Cricetulus griseus: one gene and its partners. The protein of the gene in region 2 purifies or fractionates together with the protein of the main gene of each other region. This does not show direct contact. Links are inferred from orthologs where the notes say so. Each region holds a gene or a part of one and is shown on either strand. Other genes may lie near its edges.

Region 1 (4,332 bases), on a different chromosome or scaffold from region 2:
GCAGAGGACTGCATGCCAGACAACACTCAACCAACTGAGCTACATCCCTAGCTCTAGACACTAGATAGTAAACCCAGTACATCGATTTGCCTAGAGAACATATTAAAATATATTTTCTGGTTCCCATGAAACCCTGAGGGATGGAAATATAAGTATAGTAGCTTTCTCTCAGAGTTGTTGCTAGAATTAAATATAAAGACTGGAATTTTTTTATAAGCTTCAACAGAAATGACAATATATGTTTATTTAATGCTTTTGTTTTCTCGTCCAGGAATTGATTTTGTGATATTTGAGTGATGAAGTACCCCATAACCAGGAGTGTGCCCTGTAGTTTTGTCTTGTAATATTATAAATATGCCTATTACCTAACTTCTAGTCTATAAATATGTGCTTGTGAGAGCCAGGATTAGTCAAATTTCTCAAGCTGACCATCCTTTGAGACTTATAAAAATTTTGACATCATCAAAGCCGCTAAGTGTACTTCTTAGCAGATGAGGTGTGAATTATTTTAAGCGGGCGCTTCATTGTGGGTAGAATACAAGGTTAGGCTCAGCGATAAATTTGCTAATGCATTACAAAACCAACTCATCCTAGTGAAAGCCCACTTTTTCTTAGTGTTAGCACGTTTTTTTTCGTAATTCCAACGTGCTACAAATGGTTTAGGCAAACCAGGGCCAATGCAAGGGGCATGCTGTCGATCTTAAAAACAAAAACAAAAAAACACAAAACAACCCCAACTCCTCCCATTTCCCCAACCGTAAGCTTATTGAGAAAGGTCGGCTATTCCTGGAGAAATTCTAAGAATTACAACCATTCCTAAGTGGAGACTGCGGTAGACAGTATTCAAGTTAGCGTTCTAGTCCGTTGACCACGGAAGGCTGGTTGGTTCTTGGTGAAGGTAAAAACACCTTTGCTATTTTTCTGCAACATTCACCAAGTCAGCAGGCGCGGCTCCACGAGGGCAGGCTGAGCGGTTTCCCCAAGAACACACCGATCAAACAACCAGGGGAGGAGGGACTGAAAGTGCCTGGTGTACTGTCACAGGCCAGTAATTACCCAAACCACCTCGTCCTGGGACCGGCTTTCAAAGGGACACCAAAGCAAAGCTCGAAAGGTGACAGCCAGGAAAACGGGAGAGGTGGCTTTCCCGGCATGCTCTGCAGCACACTGAGGGGCGCCAGACGCATCCCGGCGTGCAACGGGGAGCGCCCAAGGGCGATGGTTCACGGCTCCTGGAGGGGCAGGCGAAGTTAAGCCGGTAGGTGTGATCTTACTTAGTTTCGGGACCCCGCTCTCTCGGTCCCCCTTTGCGGACGCTGCCCGGTAAAGGGCACAAGCAGGGTCTTGTGGCCACGCTCCCCTTGCGCGTGCGAGCCACTTTCGGTGCCGCTTCGAGCACCGTGCCAGGTGATTAGCGGCTGTGGGCGGGCCTGCGCGCGGCACGTGACTGGGCCTGGCAGCCAATGGCCAGCCGGGTGGTCCGGCAGCGCGACGATCCCGGGACCCCGGAGCTGCGCGGCGTGGGCCGACTCCCGTCCACCCGGCAGGTACGCGCAGGCGCCTCGTTTGTCACGCGCTCCGTCCGTCCCCGCGCGCCCAGTGGCGGGGACTCGGCCCGAGGCGTTGAGAGCCTGTCGTGGGTGTTTTCCGTGGGCAGGGGGACGGCGAGGGTGAGTGTGTGTGTGGGGGCGCCGCGGCGTCACGTGCGCGCCGCAGCCTATCGCAGGCCGAGGCGCATCCGCAGCCCTCCTGGCGCCCTGGGGTGCGACGTGTTCCGTGAGGCTCGGGCGGGCCCTCACTGTTGGAGCGCTCTTTCGAAGCGCGTGTGCGGCCTGGAAAATCTGGCTGCGATGTTGCGTCCGCTCGGCTCCCGCGCGAGCACGGACGACAAGTTCTCGGCAAAATGGCTGCTGGAAACAGTCGCCTAGCAGGGGCAACGCTGGGGCCGCGTGAAGGTCACATGACGAGGTTGGCAGCGCGTGCTGCTGGCGCGGGGAAGGGGGAGGCCCGGGGCGTGGCGAGTCACGTGTCCGCGGCTCGCGAGCCTGTGATTTCGAACGACTTTGCGGAGGCCCGCTGGTCGGCTTCCACCCCTCCCTTCTCGAAGCGTGGCTAGAGTCCGTGAGAAAGCCGCGCGCTGCGGCGGAATCGACCTTAATCCGGGAGGTTGGACGCAGGGTCTGCGCCTTTGGCCAGTTTTGTCATCTTTCTGTCTATATTTTAGCAAGGTAGAGATGATTGTTTCCTATCGTCTTAAGGCCCGAGATTCCCTGGCCTCAGTACATGCAGATAACCAAAATAACAGGTGGTGATGGGAGTGAGGCTCACTAACAGAATGCTTGCTTGCTTAGAGTTTAGAGTGTTTTAGGATAGGCCCTTGATCCCCTATCACACAGTGAGCACATTATTATTTACTGCCGGAGAAGCTTTTCTCTCAAAGACCTCCCTCGACCACTCCATCTACCTTTTCGTTTTGAGGCAGTGCAGACCAGGCTGGCTTCGATTCTGTTCAAGTTTTGGAGTTAAAGGCATGTATGGCCATGCCCAACTAGCCTTATCTGTCTTGATCTGTTCCATTTCTGCTATATATTTGTTTCATAAAGCTGTCTGAAAAGGTATAGACTTAACACTTGTAAACATTTTGAAGCTTCCTACCATCCAGTCTTTCACCAAGGTCAAGGCTTTGTAGAAATAAAAAACCTATAAAGGTGTGTATCATGACATATCTGGTAAATAACACACTTTTAACTTTTTTGGGGGGGGGAGCTGGGGATTAAACCCAGAGCCTCAATTGTCCTAGACAAGAGCTTAACCACTGAGTTTTACTTCAATGTACTACTGTTTATATTTTATAATATCTTTTGATTTCTCTTAAAGTGCCTTGGAATCTCATGGGAACAGAATTTGAAAACATTCATTGAGCAATTAATAGCTGTCACTTGAATAATTACACAAATAGCTAACTTTTTTTTTTTTTTTTTTTTTGAGACATGGTTTCTTTGTGTATCCTGACCATCCTGTAGACCAGGCTGGCCTCCCAATTCAGAGATCCACCTGCCTCTGCCTCCCAGATACTGGGATTAAAGGTGTGCACCACCACCATCCAAGAGTAGCTAGCATTTTTATAGCCTAGTGTTCTCAGTATTGTTTCTTCTTTTTCTTTTCAGTTTCTTGGTGACAGGGTCTTATGTAGGCCATATGGATCTCAAACTTACTATCTAGCCAGGAATGATCTTGAATTTCTGATTCACCTGCTTCTATCTTCTTGTGTTCCTGGATTACAGGTGTGTGCCACAATACCCGAGTCTGGTCTATTCAATACTGGAATAGAACCCAGGGCTTCCTACATGCTAAGGCAAGCATTCTACCAATTGACCTACATCTTCAGTCTTCCAGAGTTTGTTGGAAAAGTGCAGATTTTTTAATTTTTTTTTCCTGATACACGGTTTCTCTGTAGCTTTGGAGCCTTCCTGGAACTCACTCTGTAGACCAGGCTGGCCCTGAACTCACAGAGATCTCAATGCTGGGATTAAAGGTGTGCGCTACCACCACCACCTGTCCAGTAGGAGAATTTTTGGGGTGGAGGTGGGGGGTGTTTCCAGACAGGGTTTCTTTGTGGCTTTGGAGGCTGTCCTGGAACTAGCTCTTGTAGACCAGGCTGGTCTTGAACTCACAGAGATCCACCTGATTCTGCTTCCCCAGCTCTGGGATTAAAGGCGTGCACCACCAATGCCTGGCTACACTTTTTTTCTTAAAGATTATTAATTTATTATGTATATAGTGTTCTGCCTGCATATTTCCCTGCAGGCCAGCAGAGGGCACCAGATCTCATAATGGATGGTTGTGAGCCACCATGTGGTTGCTGGGAATTAAACTCAGGACTTCTGAAAGAGCAGTCAGTGCTCTTAACCTCTGAGCCATCTCCCAGCCCTAATATTAGAACATAGTACTTTTTGTAGTTATAATCTTGTTCCTGTGTTTTCCATCCCCATATTTATTTATTTATTTATTTATTTATTGGTTTTTCAAGACAAGGTTTCCCTGTGTAGCTTTGGAGCCTTTCCTGGAACTATCTCTTGTAGACCAGGCTGGTTTTGAACTCACGGAGTTCCGTCTGCCTCTGCCTCCCAAGTGCTGGGATTAAAGGCAAGCGCCACCACCTGGCTCCTTTTTTTTTTTTTTTTTCTTTCTTTACCTGTCTAGATTTGTCTCAAACTTGCTATGTAGCTGAGGCTGGTCTTTAACTCCTGAATTTCCCACCCTAGCAGGAATACTGGCAATTTCTGAATATTGGAATTTCAGGTGTATGCCACCATACTCAGCTATGGTTAG
Region 2 (4,324 bases):
AGTGCTGGGATTAAATTACAGGCATACTCCATCATGTACAGGGGATAGAACTAAGGTCTCCATGCTTTAGCTGCAATCACTTTACTGCCTGAGTCATTTGCCCTAGCTTGAAGGTTATAACATATATCATTATTATAATTTTTATGTATATAGGTGTTTTGTTGTGTGTGTGCATGCCCCATGTTAGTGTCTGTCATCCTCAGAGGTCAGAAAAGAGGGTAAGGATCCACTGTAGTTACAGACGTTTGTGTGTTGCCATGTAGGTGCTGGAAATTAAACCCTTGACCTCTTGAAAAAACAGCCACTAACCACTGAACCATTTCTCCAGTCTTATGCTTTTATTTATTTAGCATGTGTGTGTTTGCTTGATGTGAGTGTGGGTGTGTATATGGAGGTCAGGACAACTTCATGGACTCGATTCTCTCCTTCCAATCTTTATTTATTTATTTTTGTTTTTCAAGACAGGGTTTCCCTGTGTAGCTTTGGAGGCTGTCCTGGAACTCGCTCTGTAGACCAGGCTGGTCTCGAACTCACAGAGATCTGCCTGTCTCTGCCGCCGGAGTGCTGGGATTAAAGGCATGCACTACCACCGCCCCGCCAATCTTTTTTTTTTTTTAAAGATTTATTTATTTTGTAGTGTTCTGCCTGCATGCATGCCTGTGGCCAGAAGAGGGCACCAGATCTCATTACGGATGGTTGTGAGCCAATATGTGGTTATTGGGAATTGAACTCAGGACTTCAGCCAGTGCTCCTAACTAACCCCTCTGAGCCATCTCTCCAGCCCTTCCTTCCATCTTTATGTCAGGGGCTCATAGATTTGAACTCAGGTAAAAGGGTTTGCGTGTCAAGCTCCATTGCACGCTAAACCATCTCACCAGCCCCAGCCTGAGTATTTTGAGCGAGCAGAGCATTTATAGCATACAGAGGGATTAAGAATATTCCAGTTTTGCGGGGCCATGGTGGTGTACACCTTTAATCCCAGCACTCAGGAGGCAGAGGCAGGCGGATCTCTGTGAGTTAGAGGCCAGCCTGGTCTACTGAGAGAGTTCCAGGACAGGTTCCAAAACCTGTCTCGAAACCCACCCCACCCCCCCCCAAAAAAAAAAGAAAGAAAGAAAGAAGAAAGAAAGAAAGAAAGAAAGAAATTCAGTTTCTGCCTGCCTGAGTTGAAAGAGAGACTAGGCATTTCTTCTAGGCATCCTAGTAGAAGAGCACCTTTACTTCCTAGCTGAGAGGGTGCGAAAATTTGTCTGGCGCCTGGACGCGTCCATCCTAGGTACTGGGAAGGATTGAAAGTGGGTTTACAGAGGATGATGAGAGAAGCACCCCGGAGAAAACTACAACTCCCATAACCGCCTGGGCTACCCAGCCCCTCTGTAATGGAGGCGGGGTTCGGGTAGCGCGGAACCGGCTTTTCCTATTTCCTACGGAGTGATTGGTCTGCAGATCAGGCGTGGTAGCCAATGAGCACGCTCTGGGTGAGCGGCGAGGGCAATATGGCTTCCTGCACCTGGTGACGGTTGAGGAAATTGAATTTGGTACCATGGAGAAACCACGGGGCACTGAGGTAAGAGGGAAGGGGCTCAGCCCTGCCGAGGAAGAGAGCCCCGAACGCCTCACTCGGCGGACGCCCCGTTTTAGCGACGCCTTTGGGGTGGAGAGTTGCAGGATTGGTAAACTGAGGTCAGGAGTTTAGTTCGACCGGAGACGAGCCGGGTTCGTTTTTGCTCCTGTTACGCTGTGGGCTCGGGTCTAGGGAAGGAGGAGACGCCTCCCCATGCAGGGGCATTGGAACTGGACTTCAAACTCTGACGCATTCGTTTGTCTTCTTGGTTTCGTGGTTCGGCGCTTTAGGCATTGTGCGGCCTGTCGCTTCCACGCGGGAGGTCAAGGGAAATAGAAATTGGTTATTACTCCGTGCTGGAGCTTTTACGTGTCTGTCTCCCAGTATACGCACTGCCATATTCTGTAGGGAGGGGGTCAAGCAGCCTGTTGGATTCCCCCAGGACGTTGACACAGCTGGGAAGTGCAAGAGGTTGGCGCTAAGGATGTCAGTTCCCAAAACCTTGCTATGCTTTTCCATGGGGTACAGCAGCCCGTTACCCACTACACCTTGCATTTGAAGTGTGTTTCCTTTTTCGAAAGTAATAATAGCCAACATTTACTGAGCACTCTTCTGACTGTTTTACTTTTATCATTCCTTCTTCCCAAAATATTATTAAATAGTGGTATTGTCCTCATTTTGGAAGCTGAGACCATGGGAGTTGACTTGCTGTGGATTATAGGAAGCACTGGAGATGGTATTTGAACCTTGGGTTTTTATGTAGTATTCTTTCATGGATGAGAAAACTGAGGTCCCCATAAGTTAAATGACCCAAGGATCAGTAGCTGATTAGGGTCAGAGCTCACCTATAAGCTGTGATACACGCTGCCAAACTACTACTATCTGTGTGGCATCTTACTCAGGTCTGCCAGGGACAGTCCCAGTCTCAGTTTTCTCACCGCCCCCTTTTAGGAAGGAAATAGGTTTATTGAATACACTGCAAGGAACAATGGGCTAGGCAGTGGCAGGAGTACTCTGCTGCCAGCTTTAAATTTGTTTTTGAGCCAGGTGGTGGTGGTACACGCCTTTAAATCCCAGCACTCGGGAGGCAGAGGCAAGTGGATCTCTGAGTTCAAGGCCAGCCTGGTCTACAGAGAGACCCTGTCTCAAAATAAAAATTGTTTTGAATCAAAATCATTCAGGTGTGCGTATACTGAACAGGGAAGAATGGATTTCAAATGCCTTCTGCCCAGGAAATTTTTTCTTTGTGTGGTGCTTGGGATATTTCCACATTATTGTATAGAACTCTGATCCCTGGCATAATGTTTTGACTTTATAGTGGCGTGAAAGCAATATTTATTCAGTAGACATTGTACTTTGAAGTTCGAAGTTTGCTCTGTACCCAAGCTACCCATATGAGAGGTTGGTGGTGGGCAGAGGCACAACCTACAGCCTGCAATTAGCCATGCAGTCACTAGGGGAAACAACCCAATATCCTGCTGTGCACCATATTGTTAAGCTAAGGTAGGCTAGATGTCCTCTTTTTCTTTCCTTAAGAGAGGGTTGTGCAGTGTTGGTGTACACCTATAATCCCTGCATTCCAGAAACTGAGGTAGGCAGATCTCTAAGTTCAAGGCTAGTCTGGTCTATAGAATGAGTTTCAGGACAGGATACACAGAGAAAGTGAGCCTTTAAAAAAAAAAGAAAGGAGATATCTAACGCCTGCTGACCTGGAATTTGCTGTGTACACCTGGTGGGCCTCAAACTCAAAGTGATGAGTCTGCCACTGAATGCTGGGATTAGGTGTGCACCATGATACCCGGCCTCCTAGATGTCTTAAATGAATTTTCAGCATATAATATGTATATAATTTTTTTTGAGATAGGATTTCGTTTAGCCCTGGCTGTCCTAGAACTAGCTATGTAGAATAGACTGGCCTTGAACTCACAGATATCTGCTTGCCTCTGCTTCCCAAGTTACTGGGATTAATGGTGTGTACCACTACCACCCAGCATTTTATTTTTATTTTAAAAAGATTTTCAACTAGCTGGTCTTCCAGAGGTCCTGAGTTTGGTTCCCAGCAACTACATGGTGGCTTATAACAATCTATAATGAGATCTGGTGCCCGCTTCTGGCCTGCATAGATATATGCAGACAGAACACTATATACTTAATAAATCTTTAAAAAAAAGATTTTTTTGTATAGTCATTTTGCCTGCATGTATGTCTGCACCATATGCATGCCTGATGCACACAGAGGCCAGAAGAGAGCATCAGATCCTCTGGGACTGCAGCTGCAGAAGGTTATGATTGATCTTGTAGGTGCTGGGAACCAAACTTGGGTCCTCTTGGAAGAGCAACCAGTGGTCCTAACCACTGAGCCATCTCTCCAGCTGCTCAATTTATAATATTTTAGCTTATGGTAGGTTTATCCAGCTATAACTCCATCTGTGTTCTCTTTTGTCCATATTAAAATATCCTGTAGGGAGCTGAAGAGGTGGTTCAGTGGTTAAGAGCTCTTACTGCTCTTTCAGAGGACCTGAGTTCAAATCCCCAACCACATTGGGTCATTACCAGGTTTGCAAATTTTCTTCCCAAGCTAAACAATGTCATTCTTCCACTAGGAGACGCCATCTTCAGAGCCAATGGAAGAAGAGGAGGATGATGACTTGGAACTCTTTGGGGGCTATGATAGCTTCCGGAGTTACAACAGCAGTGCAGGCAGTGAGAGCAGCTCCTATTTGGAGGAGTCAAGTGAAGCAGAAAATGAAGACCGTGAAG
Region 3 (3,597 bases), on a different chromosome or scaffold from region 2:
AGCTGTCCTCTCAGATCTCAGACTTGCTGACGAGGCCAACCCCAGCCCTGAACAGTGGAGGAGGAAAGTGAGTCAGTTCTTCTCAAAGCCTTTTTATCTGTGCCTCAGACGTTCACTTTTAGTAAGGCTTCTTTTTAGGGAGACAATGCTAACTCCAGACTCTCCACTGTTGCCAACCTGAATTTTCCATTTTCCTTCTACCTTACTTACCTTTTAAGTGAGTTGGGAGGGGGGAGAACACTGTCAGATCCTACAATGCACAGAAGTCCTTTAGTTTGCTATGTATATTAACAGGATTTCTGTCTGCTAACTTGGGTAGATGTACTGTGAGAAACTTTTAAGAAAGCCTGGGTTTATTGTGCTTTCAGTGGTGCTCCTCATTTCTTTAGCACTTTTGACTGTGACTAGTCCTGTTCGTGGCCTCCACATTGCACTGTGGTAGTGTAGTCTCCTATTTCCTGCCTCACTAGACTGCAGAGCTCTGGAGTGCAGAAGTTTGACTTAAGTCATGCATTGGTACAGTGGTGGCTGCTGTTAGCTGCTCAGGAGCTGAGGCAGGAATCATTTGGAATTCCAGGCCAGCCTGCACAATAAAGCACTACCCCATCTCAAAACAAAATAAAAAATAAACAACTGAGTATGTTGGTGCACTCCTTTAATCTCAGCACTCAGGAGGCAGAGACAGGTGGATTCAAGGTTGAGTTCGAGACCAGCCTGGTCTACAGAGCAAGTTCCTAGACAGCAAGGGCTACACAGAGAAACCCTGTCTTGAAAAAAGAAATCAGTAAGTAAAAACAAATTAATAAAAATAAGCAAGGGTATTATATCTTAAGAATTATATATAAAATATATAAAGGAATTATATATAAATACATAACTTAATTACCTGAAAAGAATATATGCCTACAAAAGTAGGTAGCCTGTGTTTTCTGTCTGAGTTAATTCCTAGTCTGGAAAAAACACACTCCGTCTCCCGTCTCAGCTTTCTGGGAACTGCATGAAGCATTTCTGTTGCCAGTATTTTTCAAGGTCTGCTGTTAACACAGTAAATTGGACTTGGATTTATTTATATTAGTGTATTATAGATTAATTTGAGAAATTAAGAGACTGAACCTTGTAAATGATCTATTACAGAGGTTCTCAACAAGAAGGTTGTGACCCCTTTGAGGGTCAAATGACCTTTTCACAGGGGTCAAGTTATACCATTCTGCATATCAGATATTTAAATTATAATTCATAACAGTAGCAAGTTACAGTTAACGATGTAGCAACAAAAATAATGTTATGTTCCAGGGTGACCACAGCATGAGGAACTATGTTAAAGTGTCACAGCATTAGGAAAGCTGAGAACAACTGGCTTACAGGGTGTTCTTAGTCCTTCAAGTTGTTAGTTGCCTGAATTAATTAATCTCTCTCAGGCTTTGAAACTACTTGGCTACACTGTAGGACCTTTGTAGAACATGTCTGTTTACTCCTTTGTTATTTATTGTGATGGAATAAGGTGGGGATTTAGTGGGGTTTTTGTTGTTGTTTTGTTTGTTTGAGACAGGGTCTCTATGTAGTCACAGCTGTCCTGAAACTTACTATGTATACCAGGCTGGCCTCAAACTTGAAGAAATCTGTCTGCCTCTGCCTCTCGAGTGCTGGGGTTTAAGGTGTGTGCCACACATCCATCAGGCTTTTGTTCTTTTTAACAATTAATATGAGGGAGTGTGGTAGAACTTTGTTTTCAGTAGTTCTTTTGGTTCCCAGTAGTGTTCATGGAATTCCTCTGTGTGTCAGGAAAGAGGCCCTCAAGCCAGGGCAGCACTCAAAGAGCATTCACACACTGGGAAGATCTGTGTGAAAGAATGCACAGTATAGGTGGAGAGGTACAGATTTTATTGAGCCAGATAGCATTGTCTGGGAAGTAAGTCATGTGTTTTATGTTAAATGTGTTTCCTGATAAATATTTTTAGATGTGCTTACTGAGACCAAACTTGTGTCTTAGAGCTCTTGAGGCTGTGTTTGACTCAAACTGATGTCCCTTTTGCTGGTGCAGCACGAAGGTACCAGTAGAATCCCAGGTCAACTTCATGATCACCTGTGTTTCTCTCTCAAACATCATTTCAGATTGCCATTTACATTTGTAACTAAGGAAGTAGCTGAAGCCACGTGTAACTGCCTCCTTGCCCAGGCAGAGCAGGCAGACAAGAAGGGGAAGTCAAAGGCTGCGGCAGAGCGGATGATACTTGAGGAGTTTGGACGGTGTCTGATGAGCGTCATCAACTCTGCAGGGAAAGCAAAAAGTGACCCTTGTGCCATGCACTGCTAACTCCTGCACAAAAGCTGCACGTGGACTGTACAGAAAACTTAAGGTTCCGGAACACTTGACTTTCTAGAAGATAGTTTAACAATTACTGTATTTTAATTCAGCCCTTGTTTTAAGAGACCTGAAACTATAATATTGAATGAGAAGAATCTTTAAATGAAGAAATTAGTACATTTTAAATCTTAGTTAATTCTGCCTATGTCCCTTCTAAATTTTTTCTTTAAATATTTTTCCTTTATTGTATTACATATTTTTTAATTTGCTTGGGTTTCTTAAGAATTAGATGTTCTGTCCTTCTGATTCCATTGACAAAGTACATTCATAAATTATTGTAATATCATTTATAATGTATGGTGTTGTATGACTTTGTTCAGTAGAAAAAGCCAAAGCAGCTACCCATTCTTTGGCTCCAGACCCAGAGCATTCACAGGTAGAATGTCCACATACCCAGATTCTTAATGAAACATATAACATTTTGTCTAGAAAAACACCATCCTTTTAAAGAAAAATCAGCTTTTTTGGGTGGATTCTGGAATACTATCTGTTGTCTCTGGGAAATCAGAAGGGGAAACAATCCCAATCACACTTTTCAGATATTCAAGTTGTCTTTTCTTTAATGAAAACAAAATATTAAGGGACAGACGGATGGGCAGTGTGTCTCTGTGATGAGGAATGGCTAACATGTTCTGGGATGTCTTTATTTTCTTTGAAGGAGGTGGTATGTTTTACAATAATTGTCAAAGTCATTATGGATAAGTACTTTAAAATGAGAGATGGTGTGAACTGAAGTAAACGTTTTATGGCAAGATAATGTAGGACTCATGAGCATCAAGTACAAAATTTGACTTGGATGGAGAAGCAAGGATACAAAGCTTTGAGATTATGTATGATGAAGTTTTTATCCACACAGTTCTCTGTATCTAGACTTTTGGAACTAAGTTTGAATCAATATGTGTTACCTGATTTATTGAACGGGCCTCCTAGCAGCTTTCACAATTGTCGTGAGCTATCTTCTTATAAAGGCAGTTTAATTCAGCAATGCTAAAGCCAGTGATTTGGTAGGCTGAAGTATGTGTGTTCTCATAATTGCACAAATTAACCTAAATCATTTTCAGTAATTAAAAACTGTATGCTCTTAGGAACCTATTGTAATAGGACTCTTGAGTTTATAACAAGGGAAAACTGTGTTGGAATTGAGGCATTTTGTAAGGTACCTTAATCCTTGCTAACTAATAGCATATGCTTATTACCCTCCTACAAGGATTCTATAGTTGTATGTAGTAAGT

The links.
Region 1: the proteins of L3mbtl2 (region 2) and Mga purify together in Homo sapiens (affinity purification with mass spectrometry; 3 studies listed by BioGRID and IntAct, counting the BioPlex papers as one, with this or other methods). This does not show direct contact. The link is inferred for Cricetulus griseus from reciprocal best matches to the Homo sapiens genes L3MBTL2 and MGA.
Region 3: the proteins of L3mbtl2 (region 2) and Lin54 purify together in Homo sapiens (affinity purification with mass spectrometry; 3 studies listed by BioGRID and IntAct, counting the BioPlex papers as one, with this or other methods). This does not show direct contact. The link is inferred for Cricetulus griseus from reciprocal best matches to the Homo sapiens genes L3MBTL2 and LIN54.

Annotation. Positions count from the first base shown.
Region 1 is NC_048599.1:58,605,139-58,609,470, reverse strand, and holds the start of Mga (MAX gene-associated protein), read left to right. Parts: upstream 1-1,467; 5' UTR 1,468-1,547; intron 1,548-4,332. UniProt on the Homo sapiens protein: Functions as a dual-specificity transcription factor, regulating the expression of both MAX-network and T-box family target genes. Functions as a repressor or an activator.
Region 2 is NC_048595.1:378,806,461-378,810,784, forward strand, and holds the start of L3mbtl2 (lethal(3)malignant brain tumor-like protein 2), read left to right. Parts: upstream 1-1,436; 5' UTR 1,437-1,543; coding exon 1,544-1,567; intron 1,568-4,167; coding exon 4,168-4,324. UniProt on the Homo sapiens protein: Putative Polycomb group (PcG) protein. PcG proteins maintain the transcriptionally repressive state of genes, probably via a modification of chromatin, rendering it heritably changed in its expressibility.
Region 3 is NW_023276807.1:162,482,517-162,486,113, reverse strand, and holds part of Lin54 (protein lin-54 homolog), read left to right. Parts: coding exon 1-67; intron 68-2,112; coding exon 2,113-2,314; 3' UTR 2,315-3,597. UniProt on the Homo sapiens protein: Component of the DREAM complex, a multiprotein complex that can both act as a transcription activator or repressor depending on the context. In G0 phase, the complex binds to more than 800 promoters and is required for repression of E2F target genes.